2 linked regions of the Diceros bicornis minor genome follow. The main gene of each other region encodes a partner of the protein of the gene in region 2 in a complex. Links are inferred from orthologs where the notes say so. Each region holds a gene or a part of one and is shown on either strand. Other genes may lie near its edges. The genes, in order: TRIM28 and SMARCAD1.

Region 1 (12,285 bases), on a different chromosome or scaffold from region 2:
TTGGAAATGATTCCTCATGGCCTCCTATTTGCTGCAAATACACTTTACTTTGTGAGATAACTTCCACTGGTGTAGAGTCTTATTTAACTCACCAGGAGGTGAGCCCACTTGGTTTGGTATCGGAAGTACTAACTTACTAGGAAAATGGATCTTGGCAATTGTGATTAAAGCTCTTGAAATGGAGAAATTATGCTGAGTTATTCGGGTGGGCTCTAAATGTAAATTCACATGCTTTCTTACAAAAGCAAGACAGAGGGAAATTTGTCAAAACTGTCTTAGTCTGCTCTGGCTGCCATAACAAAATATCATAGGGTGCACGGCTTAAACAACCAAAATTTACTTCTCACAGTTCTGGAGGCTGGGAAGTCCAAGATTAAGGTGCCGGCAAGGTAGATTTTATCCTGAGACCTCGTCTTTTGGCTTGTAGGAGGCTGCCGTATTGCTGTGTGCTCACATGACCTCTTCTTTGTGACCATAGCAAGCTCTCTGGTCTCTTTTCTTACTGGGACACTGATCCCATCATGAGGGCTCCACCCTCATGACCTCACCTAACCCTATTACCTCCCCAAAGCCCCATCTCCAAATACTATGACATTGGCAGACCTTCAACATATGTATTTTGGGGGGGATACCATTCAGCCATAGCAATGACACACAGAGGGAAAAGCAATATGAATTTGGAACAAAGAGAGATTTGAAGATGTTGGCCTTCAAGATTGATGTGATGCAGCCACAAGCCCAGGAACCCCTCGAACCACCAGAAGCTAGAAGAGGCAAGGTAGGATTCTCTCCTAGAGCCTTCGGAGGGAGCATGGCCCTGCCAACACTTCAATTTCAGAATTCTGGCCCCCAGAACTGTGAGTTAAATTTTTGTTTTAAGCCACCTAGTTTGTTGTAATGTGTTACAGTAGCCATAGGAAACTAATGGAGGAGCCAAAGTGATTTTAAAGGGTGATTTAGAGGATCTAGTGCCTTTTCCGCCCGGCCTGCTTGGATGCTTATCTTCTGCTTTCCGCCCTCCCCCACATCCATTTCCCACCTGAAACCCTTGAAATGGGAATCAGATCATGCCATCTTCTGCTAAAACCTTCTGCTAGCTCCTCATTACAATTAAAGAAAAAGCAAGCCAAAAGCCATGTATGGTACAGCAGCTGTGTTCATAACAGCACAAGCAGGAGGAAGACTCAAGTGTGGTCAAGAGGAGACTGTGCAGGGGCCGGCCCCACGGCTTAGCGGTTAAGTGCGTGCGCTCCACTACTGGCAGCCCAGGTTTGGATCCCAGGCGCACACCAATGCACCGCTTGTCCAGCCATGCTGAGGCGGTGTCCCACACACAGCAACTAGCAGGATGTGCAACTATGACATACAACTATCTACTGGGGCTTTGGGGAGGAAAAGGGAAAAAAAGGAGGAGGATTGGCAATAGATGTTAGCTCAGGGCCGGTCTTCCGCAGCAAAAAGAGGAGGATTAGCATGGATGTTAGCTCAGGGCTGATCTTCCTCGCAAAAAAAAAAAAAGAAAAAAAGAAGAGACTGTATAAACAAGTGTAGGGCATTTGTGTGATGGGGCCCTACACAAGGACATGGAAGGAACCAAGGCCACACACAGCCACACGGATGTGCACTCGGGGAAAGAAGCCAGACACTGACCCGCTAAACCCTGCATGGTTCCATGTGTACACCAGCAAAGCTTGTCTGTGGTGGGAGAAGTCAGGATGGCGGGGGCTAGGAGGGGCATAAACAGGTTCTGGGAGCCGGGGATGTTCTGCTTTTTGATATCAGAGCTGGTTACCCAGGGTGCTCACTGTATGTATGATGTGTGTGCTTTTCTGTACATATTATAAGCCTTATATTATATAATTACATATTATATCAAAAGGTTAAAAAGTTCAAAGAAGCAGAAAGTAGATTAGTGGTTGCTCAGTGCTGGTGGGAAAGGGAATGGAGAGTGAGTGCTGGTTTCCTTTTGGGGGTGATGAAAATGTTCTGGAACTAGACAGAGGTGGTGGTTGTACAACATTGTGAATGTATGAAATCCCACTGAATGTACACTTTAAAATAGCTGAAATGATGAATGTGATGTTACATGAACTTTTTTTGTGTGTGTGTGAGGAGATCAGCCCTGTGCTAACATCTGCCAATCCTCCTCTTTTTTTGCTGAGGAAGACTGGCCCTGGGCTAACATCCCTGCCCATCTTCCTCCACTTTATATGAGACGCTGCCACAGCATGGCTTACCAAGCAGTGCGTTGGTGCGCCCCCGGGATCCGAACCAGTGAACCCCGGCCCGCCGCAGCAGAGTGTGCACACTTAACTGCTTGCACCACCCGGCTGGCCCCAGATGTTACATGAATTTTAAATTTTTAAAAAATTTAAAAAGTAATAGAACCCAAACCTCATCTTGTAGCCTACAAAACTGGAAGGGTCAAGACAGTCATCATCTTCATGAATTTGTGTGTCCTCTTACACATTTACTGAGTCCCTACTCTGGAGCGGGCCCTGGGATAGACATGGCAGATGCAGTAGTGAGCACGAGCAGTTTGGAACTCATGTCCTCATGATTCACTCTAGTTGAAATGTCAAAGAAGAGAAGGAGCCAGAAAGAGAGGTGGGGAATAACATTCTGGGGAGAGGGAACAGCAAGTGCAAAGGCCCAGAGGTGGGAACAACAGGCTGGCCTGTGTAGTTGGAGCTGAGTGGTAGATCAGAGGTCAGCAGGGACAGACCCTGCTGATCTGATCATCAAAATCTGATTTTTATGTGTGTGGTAAAATACACATAACATAAAATTTTCATTTTGGGGCCAGCCCCGTGTTGTAGCGGTTAAGTTCAGCGTGCTCCCCTTCAGCGGCCCAGGTTGGTGGGTTTGGATCCCAGGTGCAGACCTACACCACTCGTCAGCCATGCTGTGGCTGTGACCCACATACAAAATAGAGAAAGATTGGCACAGATGTTAGCTCAGGGTGAATCTTCCTCAGGAAAAAAAAAAACCTTAAAAAAGAATTTTCATTTTAACTATTTTATTTATTTATTTATTTTTTTGTGAGGAAGACCGGCCCTGAGCTAACATCCATGCCAATCCTCCTCTTTTTGTCGACGAAGACTGGCTCTGAGCTAACATCTATTTCCAATCCTCCTCCTTTTTTTTTCCCCCCAAAGAACCAGTAGATAGTTGTATGTCATAGTTGCATATCCTTCTAGTTGCTGTATGTGGGATGCAGCCTCAGCATGGCCGGAGAAGCGGTGTGTTGGTGCGCGCTTGGGATCCGAACCCGGGCTGCCAGCAGCGGAGTGCGCGCACTTAACTGCTAAGCCACGGGGCTGGCCCTTAACTATTTTAAAGTACACAATTCAGTGACATTAAGTACATTCATGTGTTGTGCAACCATCACCACTGTCTAGCTCCTGAATGAAATCTGTGAACACAGAGCAAGAGATTGGAGTGATGTAGCCACAAGACCTCCCCAGGAAGTGGCTCTGGGGGTGACACCTGAAGCTGGATGGAGAGCCAGGTGCAGGTGTGGAGTTTGGGGAAGGAAGAGAGTGAGGGTGCCTGTTTGCAGGCAGGTGCCCCAAAGGGGCAGTAGGCAGGCCTTGGCTGGCCTGGGTGCAGTCTGAGTGACTCCTATGCATTGTTTCACCCCTGGAGCCCTGTCTGCAAAGCCAGAATAGAGACAGTTTCCAGTGGTCCAGGACTGGGAAGGGTAAGATGCTGTAAAGGGTGGGCAAGGAGCACAGAGGATGAGAGTATAAGGTGACACTGACACTGACTACACTCAGTCGGGTCTAGCTGGGGGACAGAGCCAAGATGTACCTGTGTCCTGCCATACACCTCTGGACCTCTGAATAGGCTGGCTCCTAAGAGAGGACCTCTGAGCAAGGGTTCTGCCCTGGCCTTGCCCTCCTGTATGCCCACTCTGGTTCAGCCAGTCCTAGGATGCCCCTTGTGCTTCCCTGAGTCTGCCTGAGCCTGGTTTCCAGTTGATTCTCCTCCCCCATTGCTGTCCTGGCACTTCCAGAAGCCTTGGTTTCCCCATTTGGACAATGGGGCTGGCAGTGGCCAAGCACCTGGTGGTAAGGGGACTCTCCAAGGCCTGCTGCTGGCACCTGGTGACATCCTGCTTGTGTGGCTGCCAAGGACTAGGAAGGAATGTCCTGGGCCCAGAAGGAGAAAGGGGGGACTGTTTAGAGAGAAGAGCATGGGCCTTGGTGGACCATTGAAACCACAGGGCCAGTTGCCAGAGTCTAGTGAAGGGCCTGTAACCAGGGGCAACCAGAGGACCAAACCTATCCCCAGATAGCTGTCTGGCAACTTCTAGGCACCTCCCACTACTCCTCACTTCACTGCTCCCTTTGTGCCTGGTCTGCCTCAGGGCCTTTGTACTTATTGTTTCTGCTTGAACTGTCCTTCCTGCAGGTGTTTGGGAGTAGCCCCAAGGGGAGTCCTCTCCCACACTCTTTACCACCACTTAGTTATTTTGACTGTCTGGTCCCTGACAACCCTGCGTCTGCCTCAGGAGCCAGAGTAAATATGGGTCAGTCCTCCCCACACCTCCTCAGAGATTTTGCGGCCCCGTGCAGGGTGGGGTCGTGGAAAGTGCTCAGCAAATATTACTAACGGACGCCACACCTCACGCTGTGCACTGCCAGCCACCAATTTCCTTCCCAATTATCAGAGGAAGTAAGCAACGGTCCGTGGACAGGGTCTTCGGGAACGATTAAGAGGCAGCGGGCCAGTCAGTGAGGGGGCGTGGCCCGGCGGACCTGCTCCGGTGGCCGCGGAGGCCGGGACTATGCAGCTGAGGGGGCGGAGCGGCGCCCGGATTTGGGGGCCGCGCCAGGGCTGGAACAAAGGCGGGCGCGGAGACAAAGCCCTGCGGACCCCCGGCGGCAACAAAGGCCACACCCAGCCCAGTAGGGCCGGACGCGTCTCCGCCGCCGCCACGTGTGGGCTCCTGGGGAGCTGGGTTGGGGGAGGCTGCGCCCCGCTCTCCCCGCAGCCTGGGCGTGTGCGAGGTCTGGAAAAGTAGAGTCGAGTCCCGGGGCTGGACCCGCCGGCCCTCCAGGCTCTCTGCATCCTCTCAGACCTGTGCCCTCCAGCCTCATCCTGGCCTGGAGACCTCAGGACCGAGGAGCCCTGCACAGGGGGCCAAGGCCCAGCCCAGGGACCAGCTCCGAGGCACCGATCCCTCGAGTTTTCTCCGTGCCTAGTGACCCCAGACAGGATCCCCTCCCAGAGACCCTGCTCCCACCGACTCTGCTCCCACCTTAAATAGGATTCTCCTCACAGACTGCTCCTACCTCAGACAGGATTCCCCCCACATAGACTCGGCTTCCCCTCAGACAAGATCCCCTCCCACAGACTCTGCTCCCACCTCAGAGAGGATTCTCCGTACACAGACTCTGCTTCCTCTCGGACAGGATCCCCTCCCACAGACTCTGCTCCCACCTCAGACAGGATCCCCTCCCACAGACCCTGCTCCCACCAACTCTGCTCCCACCTCAGACAAGATCCCCTCCCACAGACCCTGCTCCCACCAACTCTGCTCCCACCTCAGAGAGGATCCCCTCCCACAGACTCTGCTCCCACCTCAGAGAGGATCCCCTCCCACAGACTCTCCTCCCACCTCAGACAGGATCCCCTCCCACAGACTCTGCTCCCACCTTAGATAGGATTCTCCTCACACAGACTGCTCCTACCTCAGACAGGATTCTCCCCACAGAGACTCTGCTTCCCCTCAGACAGGATCCCCTCCCACAGACTCTGCTTCCCCTCAGATAGGATCCCCTCCCACAGACCCTGCTCCCACCAACTCTGCTCCCACCTCAGACAGGATTCTCCCCACACAGACTCTGCTTCCCCTCAGACAGGATCACCTCCCACAGACTCTGCTGCCACCTCAGACAGGATTCTCCGCACAAAGACTCTGCTCCCACCTTAGATAGGATTCTCCTCACACAGACTGCTCCTACCTCAGACAGGATTCTCTCCACACAGACTCTGCTTCACCTCAGACAGGATCCCCTCCCACGGACCCTGCTCCCACCAACTCTGCTCCCACCTCAGACAGTATTCTCCCCACACAGACTCTGCTTCCCCTCAGACAGGATTCCCACAAAAACGCCATGTTTCTTTCAAATAGGATGTCTCCCACCCCCACAGGCCTGCTCTTCCCCATCTGACAGAATTCTCCGCACTCTGCTTCCTCCCTCAGACAAGACTCACCTGCCCCCATCCTACTCCCCACTGAGGGAGGATTCCCCTCTCTACAGATCCTGCTTCCTCCGACAGGATTCACTCCCCCAGACCCTGCTTTCCTCCTTAGAATTCCCCCACTGTTAGGTTCAGTTTGCCCACCTGGAAAAGCATCAGTCAGCGCAGCGGCTGGCTGAAAGATGGGAAGGGAGCGCTTGGGGGGCCAGGTGACTCGCTGCTCTGTAGTCTCTTGGGATCTGTTTGATTTAGGCAAGTTTCAGTGTTTCTCGTGTTAAACAATAAAAACGTTAAAAGTCAGCCTCCCGGCTCAGAAGAGCACTTCCTCCTCCGACGGGGACCCTCCGCCCATCTTCCTGTGTCCCGCCCCCTCTCCCGAACGCTTGTTGACGCAGCAACCAGAGACTTCTCTGGGCCGGCCAAAGGGGCCGGGATTGAGGTGGAGGCCCAGACTGCTAATACGCATGCGCACTATAGCGGCCTGGAGAAGGGGCTGGCTCGGGAGCACACCCTAGTAACTATGCGCGCGCCCCGCCCGCGGACTAGGTTGCGGCAGTGACGTCACAGATGCCCTGCCTCTGCCGCTTGAGCGGCGCGGTGGTGGTGTAGGCGGAGGTAGGAGGACCCGGCTCAGGCGCATGCGTACTCGCGGCTTCGCCAGCGGCTGCCGACCTGAGCCCCGCCCCCGGGCGCAAGGCGCCTAGCGCGCCTGCGCGGCGGCGTCGGCGCCAGTTATTTCTGTCCCGCCCCCCAACAGCGGCTCTTTCTGCGAGCGGGCGCGAGGGTGAGCAGTTGTGCGAGTGGTGCGTGGCGCTGGTCTTGGCGGCCGCTGAGGAGGAAGCGCGGGCGTCGGCTGCGGGAGGCGAGCAGGCAGTGGGCGGCCAGTACTCGGCAGCGCCCCGCGCGCAGCGGGCGGCGGCCCAGGCGGCGCGTGGCGGCGCTCGGCCTCGCGGCGGCTGAGGCCCAGCCGTTGGCGGCGAGCGCGTCTGCGCCTGCGCGGCGGGACCCGCGCCCCTCCTCCTCCCTGGGCGCCCCCGGCGGCGTGTGAATGGCGGCCTCGGCGGCGGCGGCCTCGGCGGCGGCGGCGGCCGCCTCGGGCAGCCCGGGCCCGGGCGAGGGCTCGGCGGGCGGCGAAAAGCGCGCCGCAGCCTCCTCGGCCTCGGCCTCGGCCTCGGTTTCGGCCTCAGCGTCGTCACCCGCGGGGGGCGGCGGCGAGGCCCTGGAATTACTGGAGCACTGCGGCGTGTGCCGGGAGCGCCTGCGGCCCGAGAGGGAGCCGCGCCTGCTGCCCTGCTTGCACTCGGCCTGCAGCGCCTGCCTCGGGCCCGCGGCGCCCGCCGCCGCCAACAGCTCGGGGGACGGGGGTGCAGCGGGCGATGGCGCCGGTGAGTACGGGCTGGCCCCTCTCCCGACCACGCAGCGTTTTATCCCAACTTGGCGCAGGGATTGGGGGCCTTACCTGCGTGGTGATGGCGGGGGATCGCCCGGGCGGGACGATAGGGACCTGTACAGTGCTTGGCTGGATCGGGCGCTGAGATGGAGCGTCTGGTTCAAGTTTGGTGAAGGGTCTGGTTCAAGTTTGGTGAAGGAAGGGTTTGGCTCCTGCCCCGGGAGGGGAGGGTCTGGCCTGGAATGGAATGGAGATTGGGGCCCTGTGCGGGGATGGTGTTACAGCCTGAATGTGAACGTGCAGTGGTCTTATTCCTTCCTGTTTTTCGCAGTGGTGGACTGTCCTGTGTGTAAGCAGCAATGCTTCTCCAAAGACATTGTGGAGAATTACTTTATGCGCGACAGTGGCAGCAAGGCTGCTTCCGACTCCCAGGATGCGAATCAGGTATCTCTTTCTCCATCAACTTCCAGGAAGCCTCAGGCCATGGGGAGGGGGGCACCAGCCCAGGAGCACGGTACCAACGGGAGATTTTATTCTCCCGACACTACAGCGGTCTGGGTAGGCTGCCTAGGCTAGGTAAAGGCAACACCTTGCTTCAGGTCGTAGTTCCTGGGATGTAAATGAGTATCTGTCTGGTGGTTCTGTCTTCTCTGATTCTGCCTTTGCCTAGCAGTGCTGCACTAGCTGTGAGGATAATGCTCCTGCCACCAGCTACTGTGTGGAGTGCTCTGAGCCATTGTGCGAGACGTGTGTGGAGGCACACCAGCGGGTGAAGTACACCAAGGACCACACCGTGCGCTCCACTGGTATGTAAGGCTGAGGGGGTGGCCCAGACTGTCTTCCTACATATGCCCTTAGTTGCTTATGATGCAGGTTGCAAGTGGCGAATGGGTCCCAGGGAAGTGCTTTAGGGGGTACCAGCTGAAGGGCCTGAGGGCAGAACTCAGAAATGGGGAGGTTGGGGCTCTGGTATGCAGTTTCTGCAGGTCTAGGTGGGCGGGGAAAGGCCACAGACAGGGCTGGGGAGCGCACAAGGGACCTCAGTACACACCCTCAGGGGAATGTACGAGAGTTTGAGGAAGCTCATTGGGATAGGCTCCAGTGGTGTAGGGACAGGCATGTGCAGTCAGGGAAACAAGGCATTTGGGGAAGGTTGTGAGGGGCCTCCTGGATCTGGGGTTCTCTGGCATTTGGTTTAAGGCTCTGTAGGGGAAAGTGAGGCTTCTGGGCTACAGTATGTTGACAAGCTGTGAGGGCCCTTAGACCATCATTGACAGTGAGTCTTAGAAGTATTTTCGCTTTGTATTGTAGGTGTCTTATTCAAAGATCAGGCAAGTATTTTTAGATTTTTTTGTGAATATGTTGGCAGTGGTACATTAAGGGGCTTGGGAGTCTTCTGAGTCTAGCCTGGTTTTTAGTCCAGAACTCCTTGTGAGTGGCATTTTGGTAGTTACACTGTGGTCTGTTCAGTTCAGAGGTAGGAAGATGAGGGTGGAGATGGTGGCTTTGGGGCATGAGGAGCCACGAGGGAAGGGCAGGGGTCTGCAGCGTGTCCTGGGTTCCAGACAAAGTTCAGGGTGCAGGGGGTGCAATATTGGAGGAGCCAAGGCCTGGCTGGTCTATGTTTCAATGTTATGTCTCAAGCCGAGTTGGTGTACCCGGCACATAATTGGGATTGGGGAGGAAAGAAGAGCAGATGTTCCCAAACAGCCTTCTGATGGTGACAGGCTCTGTGTGTGTGTGGGGGGTCAGCATAGTATATTGGCTTCTTGGTGGTATTACTCTGAGCACCAGGACCCTCCCTGTGGAGAGGGTGCCTGATACCTTTCTGAGTGTCCTGGTCTGATGTCTTATCTCTCCCAGCCTGAGAAGGCTTTGCAAGGCCTCCTGTGGGCCTGTGGGTTGTAAGAAGTCAACACTCTTCTCTTAGCAGAGGAGAGGGGAGGTCACCAAGCATTGCTCTTAAGGAAATTGCCTGTCTCTAGGCCCTGATTTGCTCTCTGTCTGTGCCAGAAAGTGAATATTCTGCATGCTGGGTTGCCACAGTAGTCAGAATCCCCTTCTCTTCTGGACAGAACCTGCTGTGAGTGGAGGAGAAAGGGAGCCCACTGGGGGGTTTGGAGGAGGGTCTCTCCTGAGTGTCCACCTGGAGAAGATTCTAGTAGAGGGAACAGTAGAGGGGAGGTTTCTCCTGCCAGAGATCATCATCTTTACATTTTGTGTTGTTACTGCCAGAAGCTGGAAGGAGGGGCAGGCTGGGACAGAGGGTTTTGAGAGCAAGGATCTGGGTTCTCAGGCCTGTGTTTCTCTGGCCACTGCTTCAGGGCCCTCTGGGTTTTCCCAACAGACAGCCCAGGACAGGCAGGAAGTGAGGCCCCAAGCCCTGTCTGCTCCTTGAGTGGCTGAGGGTAAGCTCCAGCCTCATGGTTCCTGTTCCCCAGGGCCTGCCAAGTCAAGGGATGGTGAGCGCACGGTGTACTGCAATGTGCACAAGCATGAGCCCCTCGTGCTGTTCTGCGAGAGCTGCGACACCCTCACCTGCCGGGACTGCCAGCTCAATGCCCACAAGGACCACCAGTGAGTCCTGAGGTAGGGTGGGTCAGTGGGTGGATGCTGTCTGTTCCTATGCACAGTGTGCAGGACTACTTCTGTCTGCTCTCAGATACCAGTTTCTGGAGGACGCAGTGAGGAACCAGCGTAAGCTCCTGGCCTCGCTGGTGAAGCGCCTGGGAGACAAGCATGCGACATTGCAGAAGAACACCAAGGAGGTTCGCAGCTCGTAAGTGGAGATGCCAGGGTCATGGGGTTCCCTGGGTGAGCACCTGCCTGACTAGACCTGACTTGACCAACCCTGCCTCCAGGATTCGCCAAGTATCTGACGTACAGAAGCGTGTGCAGGTGGATGTTAAGATGGCCATTCTGCAGATCATGAAGGAACTGAACAAGCGGGGTCGTGTGCTGGTCAACGATGCCCAGGTACTCCCCATGTGCGAGGGAGGGTTCCTGGGCTCTCTGCTGGCTGCTGATGTCATCCTTGGGTGGGGAGGCGTTCTAGTGCCCTCTTCTCTGGTCAACCTCGTTGCCCTTTCATCCACAGAAGGTAACTGAAGGGCAGCAGGAGCGCCTGGAGCGACAGCACTGGACCATGACCAAGATCCAGAAGCACCAGGAACACATCTTGCGTTTTGCCTCTTGGGCCCTGGAGAGTGACAACAACACAGCCCTGTTGCTCTCCAAGAAGCTGGTGTGTGCTGTGCTGGTGGGCACCCAGGTGGTGGGTTTCAGGGAGGTGCCTCCCAGCACCCTGGATCCCTGTTCGCTGCATTTATACTCAAGCACTGCCCCATCCCCAGATCTACTTTCAGCTGCACCGGGCCCTCAAGATGATCGTGGACCCTGTGGAGCCACATGGCGAGATGAAGTTCCAGTGGGACCTCAACGCCTGGACCAAAAGTGCGGAGGCCTTTGGTGAGTCTTTATCTTTCCCCGTGCTGTACCTTGTCACCATCCCAGGCACTGTGCTTATTATGCTAACTTTATTTTCTTCCTATAGGCAAGATCGTGGCAGAGCGTCCTGGCACCAACTCGACAGGCCCTGCGCCCATGGCCCCTCCGCGGCCTCCAGGGCCCTTGAGCAAGCAGGGATCTGGCAGCAGCCAAGTGAGCAGGGGAGGGGGACTCTGGGGAGGAGAGGGGTGTGGGGTCCCATGGGATGCTTGCCTACTGAGGTTCAACTGTTTTGCCCGCAGCCCATGGAGGTGCAGGAAGGCTATGGCTTTGGGTCAGGTGAGTGGGTCTGCTTGGTAGGTGGGAGAGTTCCAGTGCCCTAGGTCTACCTTAACCTGCTGTCTCTTTTTCTGTCTTGAGCAGATGACCCTTATTCGAGTGCAGAGCCACATGTGTCAGGTGTGAAGCGGTGAGTGTGGCTATCCTTGGGTGGAGCAGGGTAGGCATAGGTATGGGTGCTCATGCCAAGGCGCACCAACAGGTCCCGCTCTGGGGAGGGTGAGGTGAGCGGCCTCATGCGCAAGGTACCACGGGTGAGCCTCGAGCGCCTGGACCTGGACCTCACGGCTGACAGCCAACCACCAGTATTCAAGGTGTTCCCAGGCAGCACCACTGAGGATTACAACCTCATTGTTATTGAGCGCGGTGCTGCAGCTGCTGCTGCTGGACAGCCTGGGACTGCGCCCCCTGGGGCCCCTGGAGCCCCACCCCTGCCTGGCATGGCCATTGTCAAGGTGAGCTTGCCCCAAGTGATCTTGGCTGGGAGATGGATGACATTTGCCGTCCAGGCCTTCACTCTGTTGAACGTCCCTCACCGCCTTGCAGGAGGAAGAGACAGAGGCTGCTATTGGAGCCCCGCCTGCTGCCACTGAGGGCCCAGAGACCAAGCCTGTGCTGATGCCCTTGGCAGAGGGTCCTGGTGCTGAAGGCCCTCGCCTGGCCTCACCCAGTGGCAGTACGAGCTCAGGCCTGGAGGTGGTGGCTCCAGAGGGCACCTCAGCCCCAGCTGGTGGCCCAGGTGCCCTGGATGACAGTGCCACTATCTGCCGTGTCTGCCAGAAGCCAGGCGACCTGGTTATGTGCAACCAATGCGAGTTCTGCTTCCACCTGGATTGCCACCTGCCTGCCCTGCAGGATGTGCCAGGGTGGGAGGCTGTGTGGGGTCTCTGGGGGCT
Region 2 (12,807 bases):
GGTAAACTGTGTCTCTATTCCTTTGCAAAGTTAAACAGTCCAGCTGTGCTCCCATTCCCATTCTCTTGATGCCTCTCTTCAGATACCTCCCCTCCCTTCATCCTTTTCCTCTTCACTAGCTTCTTGTCCTTGGTCAACAAATATGCTCAATTTTCAACTGTCCTGAAACATCTTTTCTTGACATTGCTTCCCTGTCAAGCTGCTTCTCTCTTCCCTTCTTGAACGAATAGTCTTCACCTCCTTACCTTTCTACTGAAACTGTCTGTTAAAGATCAACAGTAACTTTTAATTTCCAAGGAAAGTGGGGTCTCATCAGTCCCCATCCAACTTGACTTCTCTATAGCATCTGATATTGTTCATAATACACCAAACTGGAAACTCTCTTTCTTTAGCTCCCAGGGCCTTATCATTTTCTATGACTATTCTAATCATCCTTTATATCATATCTTTCATTGGTTTCCCTTCCTTTGTCCACCACTAAATGTTGATGCTTCTTAATATACACCTTGCTTAAGACATTTTTTGGTTTAGACCACTCTCTGAGCTCCAACTCTAATGTTCAACTCTTTCCTAGACCTTGCTACTGAAATATGAGAGGTGATTCAAACTCAATATGTTTTAGTATCTTCCTCCTAATCCTACTTGCCTAATTCAGTTGATAGTGCCACTCAGCCATCCAACCAAGTTGGATTCAAGTTATCTTTAAATCCTCCACATTTAACTGATCATCAAATACCATCTAACACACGTCACTTAAAACTTTCCTAAACTGCCTCCTCTGTCATCTCTACCGTCATTTCCCTACATTTAGGCTTCAATGAATACAACAGCTTCATTAATGGCTTTCCCATACTGAAATGCTCTAAAGCGTGTACCAAATAAAGTCCATCCTCCCTGACCCCTCACAACCCAACAGTTTACATTTCTATCTTTTCAGCTTCATCTATATTGCCCTAAACCTCCTCTTCCATAGATAACCTCTCCGTTCCCATACACATACCACAGACTCTTCAAGGCAACATATATTTTCACCCCTTGTTCACTGAATAAGCAATGTTCATTGTTTAGGGTCCACTCAAAATCATCTATGACTTTTCTTGATCCTCCCCAGGAAGAATGGATAATTTAATCATTTGTGAATTGGATTATGGTCCTACACTGCTTAATATCCTCCCCTATTACATGAGTTATGTACCATTTTAACTATATAAATTTACATGTCCTTTCCTCTCAGTGCTCCTTGAGGATCATGCTTTGTTCATATTTTTATCGTTTGTGCATAAAACACTGTAGGCTCACTCATCTGCCATTGCTTTATTCCCTCCAAACCCACTATGCTCCCAAAAAAGTCAAAGAAAAAGGAGAAATAAAGTATAAGCAATAACCATTGATAACTTTGGCCACTGTGAGAGTAAAATAAACCTGGGGAGGGGAGGAGGGAAGGTACCCACAGGTTAAGTGTATGCCCTCACATCCAAAGACTGGATTAAAGGAGACTGTCCTCGGGCCATGCTGTGGCGGCGTCCCACATAAAGCAGAGGAAGATGGGCACGAATGTTAGCCCAGGGCTGATCTTCCTCAAGGAAAAAAGGGGAGGATTGGCATCGGATGTTAGCTCAGGGCTAGTCCTCTTCACAAAAAAAAAAAAAAAGAAAGGAGCCTGTCCTGTACCAAAAGTAAAGTATCCATGGCTGAAGAATGCCTGATGGCTAAGGGACTGTTTCAAGATCATAGGGAGCAGGAGAGATATTTTAAAAATATGTACAAAGTACTAATATCACCCACTTACCAACCAATACTCCTTCCTTCAACACGCCAGTCACTGTTCTGAGCAATGGGGATGAATAGGTGAACAAGACAGACAAGATCTCTGCTCTCATGGATCTTATACAGTCATGTGTCACATAACGTTTTAGTCAATGACAGATTGCATATACGACGGTGGTCCCATAAGATTAGTACTATATAGCCTAGCTGTGTACTAGGCTATACCATCTAGGTTTGTGTAAGAACACTTTATGATGTTCACACAATGATGAGGTCGCCTAAAACACATTTCTCAGAATGTATCCCGTCATAAGCAATGCGTGACTGTATTCTAATAAGGGGGAGACAAATACATAATGTAATGTTAGGTAGTAATAAATATTATACAGAAAAATACAGTGAGTAAAACTGGGGGGGAGGGGAGTTGCTACTTCAGAGAAAGTGATCAAGTGAAGGCCTTCTAAAAAAGGTAACATTTCACTAAGCCCTAAGGAAAGAAGGAGCTGACTCATATGCAAATATCGGCACAAAGGGTCTTGGAGGCAAAGAGCAAATGTGAAGAAGGAAAGACTGGACTGTGCTTGGCATATTCAAGGAAGAGTGTATCTGCTGCATAGTAACTGAAGGAGAATGGTAATGAATAAAATCTTAACTCATATTAGATAAAAGAGGAATAGCTGAAAAAGAGTGATTACAGGTCATCTCAACTATACACAATTTCCATCCTATAAGCTGACTTAGATCCTAACCTACTGTAAATAAATACAGCACTATCCTGCAATGGCAGAGTAAGTTACCATATGATGATAAAGAAAGTAAGGTCAGTATTTGTACCCCAGTGATGATTCCCCAATCTCCATATCCAGTCCTGATCTTAAATCTAACTTCAGTATCTTGTCCTCGCCATAGGCCCAAGCCATAACACTCAATTCAGCAAGCCCCCCAACCCCACACTGTTAAGTTGACTTTGGTCTACTCCAACACACTAAATTGCAGACAGCACCTTTGATTCTTAGCTCAATTTTCAAATGCATGCCCAATAGCTTATGATGGGTACTTCATACCTATTCTGATGTACAGAACTATCCTTTTATTTATTCAATTTATCCAAGCGAAAACTCTTAACATTCATTTTATCTCATTCCTACCATGGATCTTGTTGTAAAACCTTGCCCTTCTCTTACTTGGAAATCTCTCACATCTTGTTCTCCATTTCTACTGCCATCAAGTTTACATTATAAGAGCTTCTTAAACGATTTCTCTCCCTTCAAACCGTACTCTCTATAATGTACAGTACTCTCAATTGCTAGACTGATTTTTCCACAAAATAACTAAATAACTTTCTTTCATCATCTTACTCTTCTATCTGCAGTCTTTAATGGATCCCTAGTACCTATAAGGTAAAGCCTAAACTTAGCTTTAGTTTTCAAGATTCTCTAAAACTCAGTATCATTTACAATAATCTTTTCTTAAAGCAAAGCTCTCTATTTCTAATAGGATGAATTCTCAACAATCCCAGAACAAACTTTCCCAGTGTCATCAAGACTCACTATGTGATTGATTCCTAAAGGCAATCTTAGTTTCTAAGAGGAATTTATGTGTGAAAAGAAAAAGTCCCAATAAAGAGAAAATGAGTGAAGTCTCTTCAAACAGAAAGAAAAAGGCAGAAAAACATCTTTTGATTAGAAAAGGCAAATAAGAATTTCACATTACTCATGTTGATAAATAACTAAAACATTCCACTCAATTCCAGTTTACAAAATGCTTTTATTTTAGAGACGAAAAAATTGTGGATCTCAGATTTTAAGTGACTTGTCCAATATCCCCTTTAACTAACATGAAACAGAGACTTCTAAGGACTCAAAATCCCATGCCTACACTCTGACTTTCCCTGCCCTAACTACATAAGAAATAGATTAATATATTTACTGTTAAAATACTAAAGTACCTGGATGTTTAGACATTAAATACAGCATGTTACGCAAATCAAATATCTGTTGAAAGAACAAATGGATGTCACTCCTGTGCTTAAAATCCTTCAGAGGTTCCCCACAGAATTCAGACAAGTTCAAAACTCTTTAGACAAACAAAGCCTTTCAAAATTGGACTGCTAACTTTCACTTAATACAACCTACCAAATCATTCCACCATGTTCCAATTACACCAGAGAAGTTTGAAATGTTATTCTCATGTTAACTTGTAGGGACTCTACCATCACCGTTGCATTTAGGTAGAAGATAGCAAACAAAATAGGGATACCAAGGGTGAAGACATACATATTACCAATCTTGTCAGGGCCACATTAACTTAGAGCTGCTTGTGAAATATTTAGTTTTGCATTAAAAAAAAGGTATTATTGAAATAAACATTAAAGCTTTTAATATCCCTCTCACCCCTCATAAGAAACTGTATAATGTAAACAATTAAAAGTTTATGCTCAGGAATTAGATTGCTTGGATTTGAATTCCATTTCTACCAGCTTCCTAACAACTTAACCTCCCTGGGTCTCATTTCTGCAAAATATGGATAACAATATCTTGCGTGATTGTTGCGCAAATTAGAGAATGTGAAACACTCAGCACTATGCCTAAAACATAGTAAGAGTTCAAGTATAATCTAATTGTTAACTGTCCAGACAACACGGATTAAAACAGAGATGCTAATTTTTGGCTTCTCAAATCCTACTGTCCATGACAATCTGCTGAAGAGGTTAAAAATGGTTCATTTACCATGAAGAACACTAATTATTCATTTGTACTTTGGAATCTCCAGGAAGTCAAGTGGTGGCAAAATATGAATGTGATCTGATTTTCATTTATTCACAGTGGTTGTCTTCAAGCACCTTGAATAAAGTCTAGCTCACAGCAGGTGATCAATATTTTTTGGAGGAATACTGGAATGAATGTAAACATCTGGCAATAACAGCCTCAAAGTCTATCGTAGGGCTGAATCACCTAGTTTCTCTTCCAGTAGCAACCATTCTGACCTAATGATGACCTAAATTCTGATTTCAACTTCCATCATTGGGCCATATTCTAAGAACGCATGTAAAAGTGAAGCAACTACGGACGGATACTCAGTTGGAGGCACAGGGTGCCTATGGCAGTGAAAAGCTGTATCTAAAAGGGCATGGTGAAGGACAACACATCAGTATGTATGATCTCAAGAATAAAAATTAGAATGTCTTGCAGCTTTCATCTTTTAAAAAAAATCTCTTGACGCTACATCAATTTGCAACGTTGTAACTCACCTGTTTTTTCAGTTAAATCTGAATCAGGGGTGCCTGCCCTGCTAACTTCCCCTTCAGCATTCTCCTCTTCAGCACTAAGAGAAATTGGTGAAGAAGGGCCGGGCTGGGAGAGCTGAGGGGTTGCTTCAGGCGCTTCCTCAATCTTACTCCTTTTCTCAAAGCGAAAACGGTCCAGGTTGAAAAGATTCATACTGGTAGAAACCACCACCCTGAGGGATTGGGAGCTTTAAATGAACTATCTGCCGGGAAAAAATAAAGAGAAAAATAGGCCATGAAAACAATATAAAATACAAAGCCATAGCAGTTCATTCCCAAGGCAGCTAAGAGATCGCAAACATGCTAGTGGCTCAGGATGATTATTATGGCTGCGCCTCATTGTTAGGCCACAACAATCAGAAGGTGCTCAGGGATACCTTTTAAAAATTTCCCATTGCTCTCTTCACTCGCCTTCGTCCCCCCCCTCCCCCCTCCCGCCCCTCCTTCCTGGGACCACGAGCTGACCCTCGTGCAACCTCCTCTTACCCCAGCACGCGCAGGCACGTTCCCACTCCAACCCCCCTGCGGGCCGCGCGCCCGCCCACAGTGAGAGGCTCCCTGCACTACGGTGCTCCCTGCCTCGAGAAAGGACGTGCGAGGGCCCGAGCCTCGACACGGCGGGACACAAAGAGGCCAAAGAAGGGGAGCGGCGGAGGCCGTGCTGGCGGGCACCCGCCCGGAAGTTGACGCGGCGCGATCCCAGCTGAGAGGAAGCCGATAGGATCAAGAAATCACAAGGAAGGTTCAGAGGTGGAGAGTGTGCTGCGGCATCTCTTTTCATGCTCACTCCCTTGCTCTCTTTCATTTCTCCCCGAGATACTTACACTCTTGCAGCCTCGATGCGATGTAACAAAGGTTGAAAAGAAAAAAAATAATTCTCGGCGTGGGGGGGACGGTAGCCGGGCCGGGACCTTCCTAAAAAGCACGGAGAGTCCCAACGAGCGCGTAGTGATGACGCAACACGCAGCCTAGGCTTTTTTCTTCCCCAGCGACGCGAGAGCGGAAAGTGTCCAGGCGCGCGCTGTTGTCATGGTAACTGGTACCCGCCTCTTTGCCTGGGAAGCGCGCTTCTGCCTGTTTCTCCAGGTTGGCTAGGGGGTTGTTAAATAGAATAATAACAAATAGCACAATAACTATAAATAGCATAATAAGACTATATAGTGTAATATTTGATATATTATAATCTATAATATTTTATATAATATATAGACAGTATGATAATATTGTGCTAGGTTGTTTTATGTGTATAATCTCAACCCTTACAAGAAGGCTGTCTTTACAAAGTAAGGAAACAGGCCTGCAGATGTTAAGTAATTATTAGTAAGGGGTAAAACCCGGTATGTTGAGCTTCAAAGCATAGGAACTGCCTCCCCACTAGTTAGCTGCGTTGTTCTTAGGTGGAATATGACAATTCCCCTATCTTGATGGAAATATTATCTTAAGAATATTTACTCTCTTTGTTCTAACGTTAGACTAAACAAGCAATTTTCTGAATTGTAATTTGATCCTCTGGTTGACATTTCCCTGAAAGAGGAAATGCTACAAATCATTATTCTGCCAAATACATCAGTCATTGTAAACTTAAATTGGCATTCTGTTTTATAAATCAGTGTTTTGAATTGTATAATTATAACATGAACCCACAATTTTATCAAATATGGCGTGCTTGTAAAATCAAGTGTCTGGACCCATAAAATTCAGAATCAAAGGCTGAACAATTGGGATTTCCGTTATACCTATCTTTGATATCCCATGAAATGCACCAGCTTTATGCACGCATGTTAAATGATATGATTAAAGGATATATCAACTGATAAATAGTAAATTGTTTTTGATGAAGAATATTTGCTTTAAGATTTGCTCTCTTAGCAACTTTCAAATATGCAATATGGTATTATTAAGTATAGTCACCATGCTATACACATAATACAAAAAAGAATATTTGCTTTATATTTAAACAGATCTAACATTGAAAATGGATTCCACTAGCTGAATGCTTTGGGCAAATAACGTATAATTTCTCTAAACCTTAGTTTCCTCATCTTTTAAATGTGGTTGATGATACTATTGACCATTTAGGGGAATTTTCTGCAACAGTCCTAACCCCTTGACATTTGTACAGCTGGGGCAAGAGTGAAAATGGAGACCTACATATCATATGTCTAAATATTTAAACATTATAAGTACAGCTAACAAAATGTAAAAATAAAATATGTTGTATTGCCCTGTTTTAAAAATGACCTGGAAAGCTAGGTTGAATTTAGACTTCTTATGTGTCAGAAAGAATGTGGGTGATTCAAGGAGAACTGATTGGCCGATGTATCTTGCCTTCCCTGTGTCACTCAATGTGGTACTACTTCTGTTGTGACACATGTTCACTCAGTGTGGTGCCTTCCCTGTTCACTCAGTGTGATACCATTAGGAACCTTGTGTTCATGCATATGGACACCCAGCTCAAATCTCAAATATCCAACTCTGACCCCACCTAGGGTTTCCATATTTGTGGGGAAAAAAAAAAAAAAGGATGCTCTGTTAAATTTGAATTTTAGATAAACAACGAATACTATTTTAGTGTAAGTATGTCCCATGCACTATTTGGAACTTACTCATACTAAAAAATTATTTGTTATCTATCTGAAATTCAAATTTAACAAGATATCCTGTATTTTATTTGGCAAACCTACCTCCACCTGACTGCTTCATCACCTCTTGGGCCTAGGGGTCTTTTTGCTACACGTTGGGTCTAAGGGTATAGATACTGGAAAGACTTGTTGGCCCTCAGCAGAAAGGCCACTGTTAGCCTTCTTGGACCTGTGTGAACATAGAATTTCAGGGATCAAGTACTCAAAAGCATTGTCTAAAAGTCAAGGCACAGGTTCTGAGTGAGCATATCTTCTTGGCCCCACGGATTCCTTGCCCTTTGTGGTTGGGCATAGCTGGAAAAGAGCCAGATTAAGCCCCATAAAGCACTAGTTCCAGTATAGGAACCACTCTTGCCTAGTTCTAAGGGTAGGGTGGTTCTGCAGCATTCATTGACCTGGGAGGATTGGCATGATCCATGGTTGAGATTTTACTTGATGGTGGATCAAAAGGTTAAGGGAGTATATAACAAAGTAACACGGAACCCCAGGCCTGTGTGCTCTCTCTCTCTACCTGTGACCTCACTGTGTGGCCCTAGGTGTGCTGTGTAATTTCCAGATCCTGTGAATAGTAAACCTTTATTTTTTCAAAGTTTCCTGATGGTTATTGCTGAAGGGCTTTTTGCGGTCATAATAAGAATCACAAAGACTGGTTCAACCACAACATTTTTATTCATAGGCTGAGACCTGGACAAAACAATATGGAAGAAAAATTTGAAAACCACCTCTCCCCCTAGAATGCATAGGAAAAAGACAAAGAGGTGAAATCAATGTGATTTAAAGGGATGATAAACATAGGAGTCAGAAGACTGAGAGGCAACTTTTGATTAATTGATATAATCAAAGAAAAGCATATGCACACACAAAATGAACAGAATAATGAAAAATATAATAGAAAATGTTCATGAGCTCACTTTAGTTTGCAAGTGAAAGAGCTTACTGGATTCAAGGCAGAAGCAATGAAAAGAGACTGTACACTAAAAATGTCCTAAAGAATTTTTTTTTAATTTCAAGAATTTAAAAAATGTCTTGCAGTCATTTTTTCAGAAAAACCCTGCAGCCTACTAGGGACAAAAAAAGTCAGTCAAAAACTTGTTCCTGAAACTATAAGCCAGAAGGTAATGATGCAACATCTACAAAGCTCTGGAGGGAAAGGATTGTCACTCACTAATTTTCTAGATCACGTGTATGTCATTCATTTGTGGAAGGAAAAAAACAATTTCAAACTTTTAATTCCTTGAAAATATATCTTCCTTAAAATGTTTCTAAAGACAAATGCAGCTGACAGGGTCAAAAATTCAAAAATGAGGATTTCAAGAATGGAGAATTCATGGTGTAAAAGTATTCTGTTGAGACTAAATATAGTTAGGAATTAATAATTATAAATATGGTGTGTTAGTCAACTTTTTGTTGCATAACAAACAACTGCAAAGTTTTAGTTGCATAAAGCAATAAGCTTGATTGGCTAATGTGGCTCAACTTCAGGCTACAATGCCTGTCTGCACATAGTACATGGTCAATAAATATTTGTTGAGTGAATGAATGCTATTAATAACTAAAGTGCCTAAGCATACAGATAACCACAAATAAATTTTAAAATAAACTTAGTGTCTTCAAAATAGTACGTGCTATGGAAGAACAACATAGAGTTAAAAAATCTCAGGGAAGAGATGACATAACTTGAGAAAGGAAGAGAAGTAAAAGAAAAAGTACTTTAGAAAAGATTAAATTAGATGTAACACATAGATGAATAAATGTAACATAAAATTACTTAAGAGAAATAGAGGGTGAAAAGGGAAGAAAACCTAAAAGTGAAAATCAAAAGGTAAATAGATTTCAAGAGGAAATAATAAATATTGAAGATAAGCAAAGAAGATCCAACAAAATTATAATAGGAGTCACTACAGAAGGAAACCAAAGCAAAGGTATGGAAGAAGTGACTAAAAACTCAAATTCAAAAAACATTTCCTGAAAATTATAAAGATTTGAAACTATATATCTTGAAAGAGCACATCATTTACCTGAGAATATCAACCCATATGGCCAACACCAAGACATATTCTAATAAAATTTAGACTTTAAGGAAAAATTTTAAAATTTCCTCGAACATTTAGATAAAAGCAAGCAAGTGACCTAAAAGAGAAAGAAAATTATATTATCATCACAGTTTTAACAGCAAGTCTTTATGTCAGAAGAAAATGGAGTATTGTTTTTAGGATGCTCAAGGAAATAAAATGTGATTTTATATTGAACAAAGTGCCTTTCAAATAAAAAGGCACAGATAAACTTTAACATTATGCAAGAACTCTGTGGATATTGTTCTCATGAGCATTTCTGAAGAAGCTATTAGAAAATGACCTACATAAACCAAAATGTCTATAGAGACAATGATGTAAGGATAGATATTGAGCACTAACTATACAGTTATTTGTAGAACAAAGACAATATGAGGTTTAAAAGCAAAAGAGTATAGTATATAATGGCTATATGATCTGTCAATGCATACGTCTTAAAACTGGGGGAAAAAATGGTAGAAACATGAAAAAATTATTTTTTGAGTGAGTATACTAGTATTATTATTCTGAGACTGTTGTATATATATTGTTGGATAAAGCAAATGAATAACTCTATTATTTCCTTTTTCTTTGAGAACCAGGATTCTCAAGTAGAAGAAAGGAGATACAGATGTGGTAGAGAGTTGTTAGAGTGTAAAGCCTAGAGTGCAGAGTGGTTCTTTATTTGAATTGGAAATATCAGTAGGAATTTATGAGGTTTGATACACCCTATATGTATATATATACACATGTAACGTGTGTGTATTTCCTATCTGTGTCCACTGAAATGGCCTAGGAACTGACTAGCCCAATACACATCCCTACCTCCAAGATTGTGGTCTTGAAATATCATTTACCACTAAAGGAAACCAAAACTTCTTAAAAAAAGGACAGATTCTAGTCTGGGACAGGAAATGTACAGCGTGAACCTGGAATATCTTCATATACCCAAAAGCAAGGAAGTTATCAAAGACCACTAACATCATGTCAAAAAGATTCCGGAGTCAACTTGAAGAGGCTGCTACTACTGGACAAAGATGGGGCAATTTGAACTTCAATACAATTAAAAATTGCAATTATGTAAAAACCATCAAATATGTTTAAATCCATAAGTTCTTTATGGTATTTTTGTAAAAAACTGGTTGTCTTTGGAGAATAAAAGGAAGACAATTCATTATCATGAAAACTGACAAGTTTAGGAAAAGAATCAAGCTTTTATCCTGCCTTTTCTCTATGAAGGGCACTATTAGGTAATCAAATAACAGATGAAGGAAAGTATCTCTTTATAAAAGCATTCCAACTAGTAAAGAAGAAAGAAATGATAAAATTTGAATCACCCTGCTTGGTCCAAATTCCTGACCTACAAAATCATAAGATATAATAAAACTGCTATTGTTTTAAACCAATAAATTTTGGGGTTAGTTTGTTATGCAGTAATAGATAATTAGAACATATCCAAACATTTTTGTGTCAAGTATACTGATTCTTCCAGTTAAAATTAAAATGTTCCTTATTTTCCCATCTTAAAATACCTAGACTCAGAAACTGTCTGGGAATCTTAGGCTCATTTCCTCTTCACCTCACGTTTGGAGTAGCTGAGTACAAAAAGTAACGTTTAATAGACTTTGTTTATGTGTCCTCCCACTTCATTTCTGCCTGCTTTGCCGGAAGAATTATTTCCCACAATGATATCTAATTCCTCTTTCTCAGTAGTATAAATAAGATCAAAGGCACCTCTTCTTTAGAAATATATACTTAGTCACAGAAAATTTGCTTTATCATTTCTAATTTGTATTAAGGCATTTTTTGTGATTCAACATGGTAGTTAAGATAAAGTTCCTGGAATATAGACCATAAAACAGAATTTTATCAGCAGGACTAGTCAAATGTGGTGACTAAGATTTCAGAAATAAATTATTGCTTCAAGGGTCCCTATTGGGATAGAATTCACCTTTTAAATTAGAATAAATATTTATGTAGGCCTGCTGTGATGGTTCATTTTGTGTGTTAATTTGACTGGGCTAAGGGATACCCAGATAGCTGATAAAACATTATTTCTGGGTGTGTCTGTGAGGGTGTTTCTATAAGAGATTACCATTTGAATTGGTAGACTGAGTAAAGCGGATCCCCCTCCCTAATGAGGGTGGGCATCATCCAATCCACTGAGGGCCTGAATAGAACAAAAATGTGGAAAAACAGTGAATTCACTCTCTCTGCTTGAACTGGGACATCTATCCTCTCCAGCCTTCAGACACGTTCTCAGGCCTTCAGATTTAGGTCTTGAACTGGAGCTACACCACTGGCTTTCCTGGGCCTCCAGCTTTTAGAGGTACTTCTCAGCTTCCAAAATCTGTGAGCCAGTCCTTTGTAATAAATCTCTTTCTATATACTTTTATATATCCTATTGGTTCTGTTTTTCCGTAGAATCCTGACTAATACAGCTGCCAAAATCCTGTTAATTACCTGTTAGTTTTGAAATGAGCTCAGTGAAAATGTTTGCTAGAATCCTCAAATTTCTTCATTAAATAGGAGGAAAGCCTGTGGGGATTTTTTTTTATTTCTTTTTGCTTTATATTTACCAAAATAAAACCATGAAGCAATTTGTGGAAGGAGCAACCCTTCCAAATCTGAATTAAATAAGAAACCAAACAATAAACAGCAAAAGAGATTAAAAATGAGATTTGCAAATCTGGATCCCTTCTTAACTTGGTATCTTAAAAATGTAAACCACACCTGGTTGGTAATGGAAAGTTGTATAAACTAATCTTACCTCACACACATAAATATGAAATGGAAAAGAGAAGATACCAAATCATAAAACTAAGCAGATCTTTCTTCTTTGGTAACAAGAAACTAAGACAAATATTACCAGTTTGTAAGCAAATATTTCTTTTCCCAGAGTAATTATTCTTAATTTGGAAAGGTGGAAGGGATGGTCATGAACCTCTTTTGAGAATTTGATTTTTAAAAAACTATGTAATAATGCCTTCTAGAAAACTGCATATGCACACAATGGAGTGTACATAATTTCAGGAGCTTCCTGGAACCCCTAGTGCTCTAT

What was found.
Region 1: the proteins of SMARCAD1 (region 2) and TRIM28 are in contact, whole or in part, in a crystal structure (PDB 6H3A), measured with the Homo sapiens proteins. The link is inferred for Diceros bicornis minor from reciprocal best matches to the Homo sapiens genes SMARCAD1 and TRIM28. Residues at the interface, in NP_001362784.1 of Homo sapiens: Asp156, Leu157, Ala160, Lys161, Gln163, Thr164, Glu167, Leu168, Phe169, Asp188, Gly189, Ala190, Ala192, Leu196, Ala201, Gly202, Gly203; in NP_005753.1 of Homo sapiens: Arg330, Trp333, Thr334, Lys337, Ile338, His341, Leu376, Lys377, Ile379, Val380, Asp381, Val383.

Annotation. Positions count from the first base shown.
Region 1 is NC_080773.1:38,309,518-38,321,802, forward strand, and holds the start of TRIM28 (transcription intermediary factor 1-beta), read left to right. Parts: upstream 1-6,981; 5' UTR 6,982-7,261; coding exon 7,262-7,598; intron 7,599-7,934; coding exon 7,935-8,047; intron 8,048-8,276; coding exon 8,277-8,409; intron 8,410-10,044; coding exon 10,045-10,180; intron 10,181-10,265; coding exon 10,266-10,382; intron 10,383-10,464; coding exon 10,465-10,579; intron 10,580-10,700; coding exon 10,701-10,847; intron 10,848-10,956; coding exon 10,957-11,071; intron 11,072-11,156; coding exon 11,157-11,263; intron 11,264-11,352; coding exon 11,353-11,389; intron 11,390-11,473; coding exon 11,474-11,519; intron 11,520-11,591; coding exon 11,592-11,844; intron 11,845-11,935; coding exon 11,936-12,255; intron 12,256-12,285. Other genes in the region: ZBTB45 (zinc finger and BTB domain-containing protein 45), read right to left, coding at 6,358-6,369. UniProt on the Homo sapiens protein: Nuclear corepressor for KRAB domain-containing zinc finger proteins (KRAB-ZFPs).
Region 2 is NC_080747.1:77,531,610-77,544,416, reverse strand, and holds the start of SMARCAD1 (SWI/SNF-related matrix-associated actin-dependent regulator of chromatin subfamily A containing DEAD/H box 1), read right to left. Parts: upstream 5,982-12,807; 5' UTR 5,878-5,981; intron 5,811-5,877; exon of another isoform or gene 5,540-5,810; intron 5,257-5,539; 5' UTR 5,208-5,256; coding exon 5,018-5,207; intron 1-5,017. UniProt on the Homo sapiens protein: DNA helicase that possesses intrinsic ATP-dependent nucleosome-remodeling activity and is both required for DNA repair and heterochromatin organization.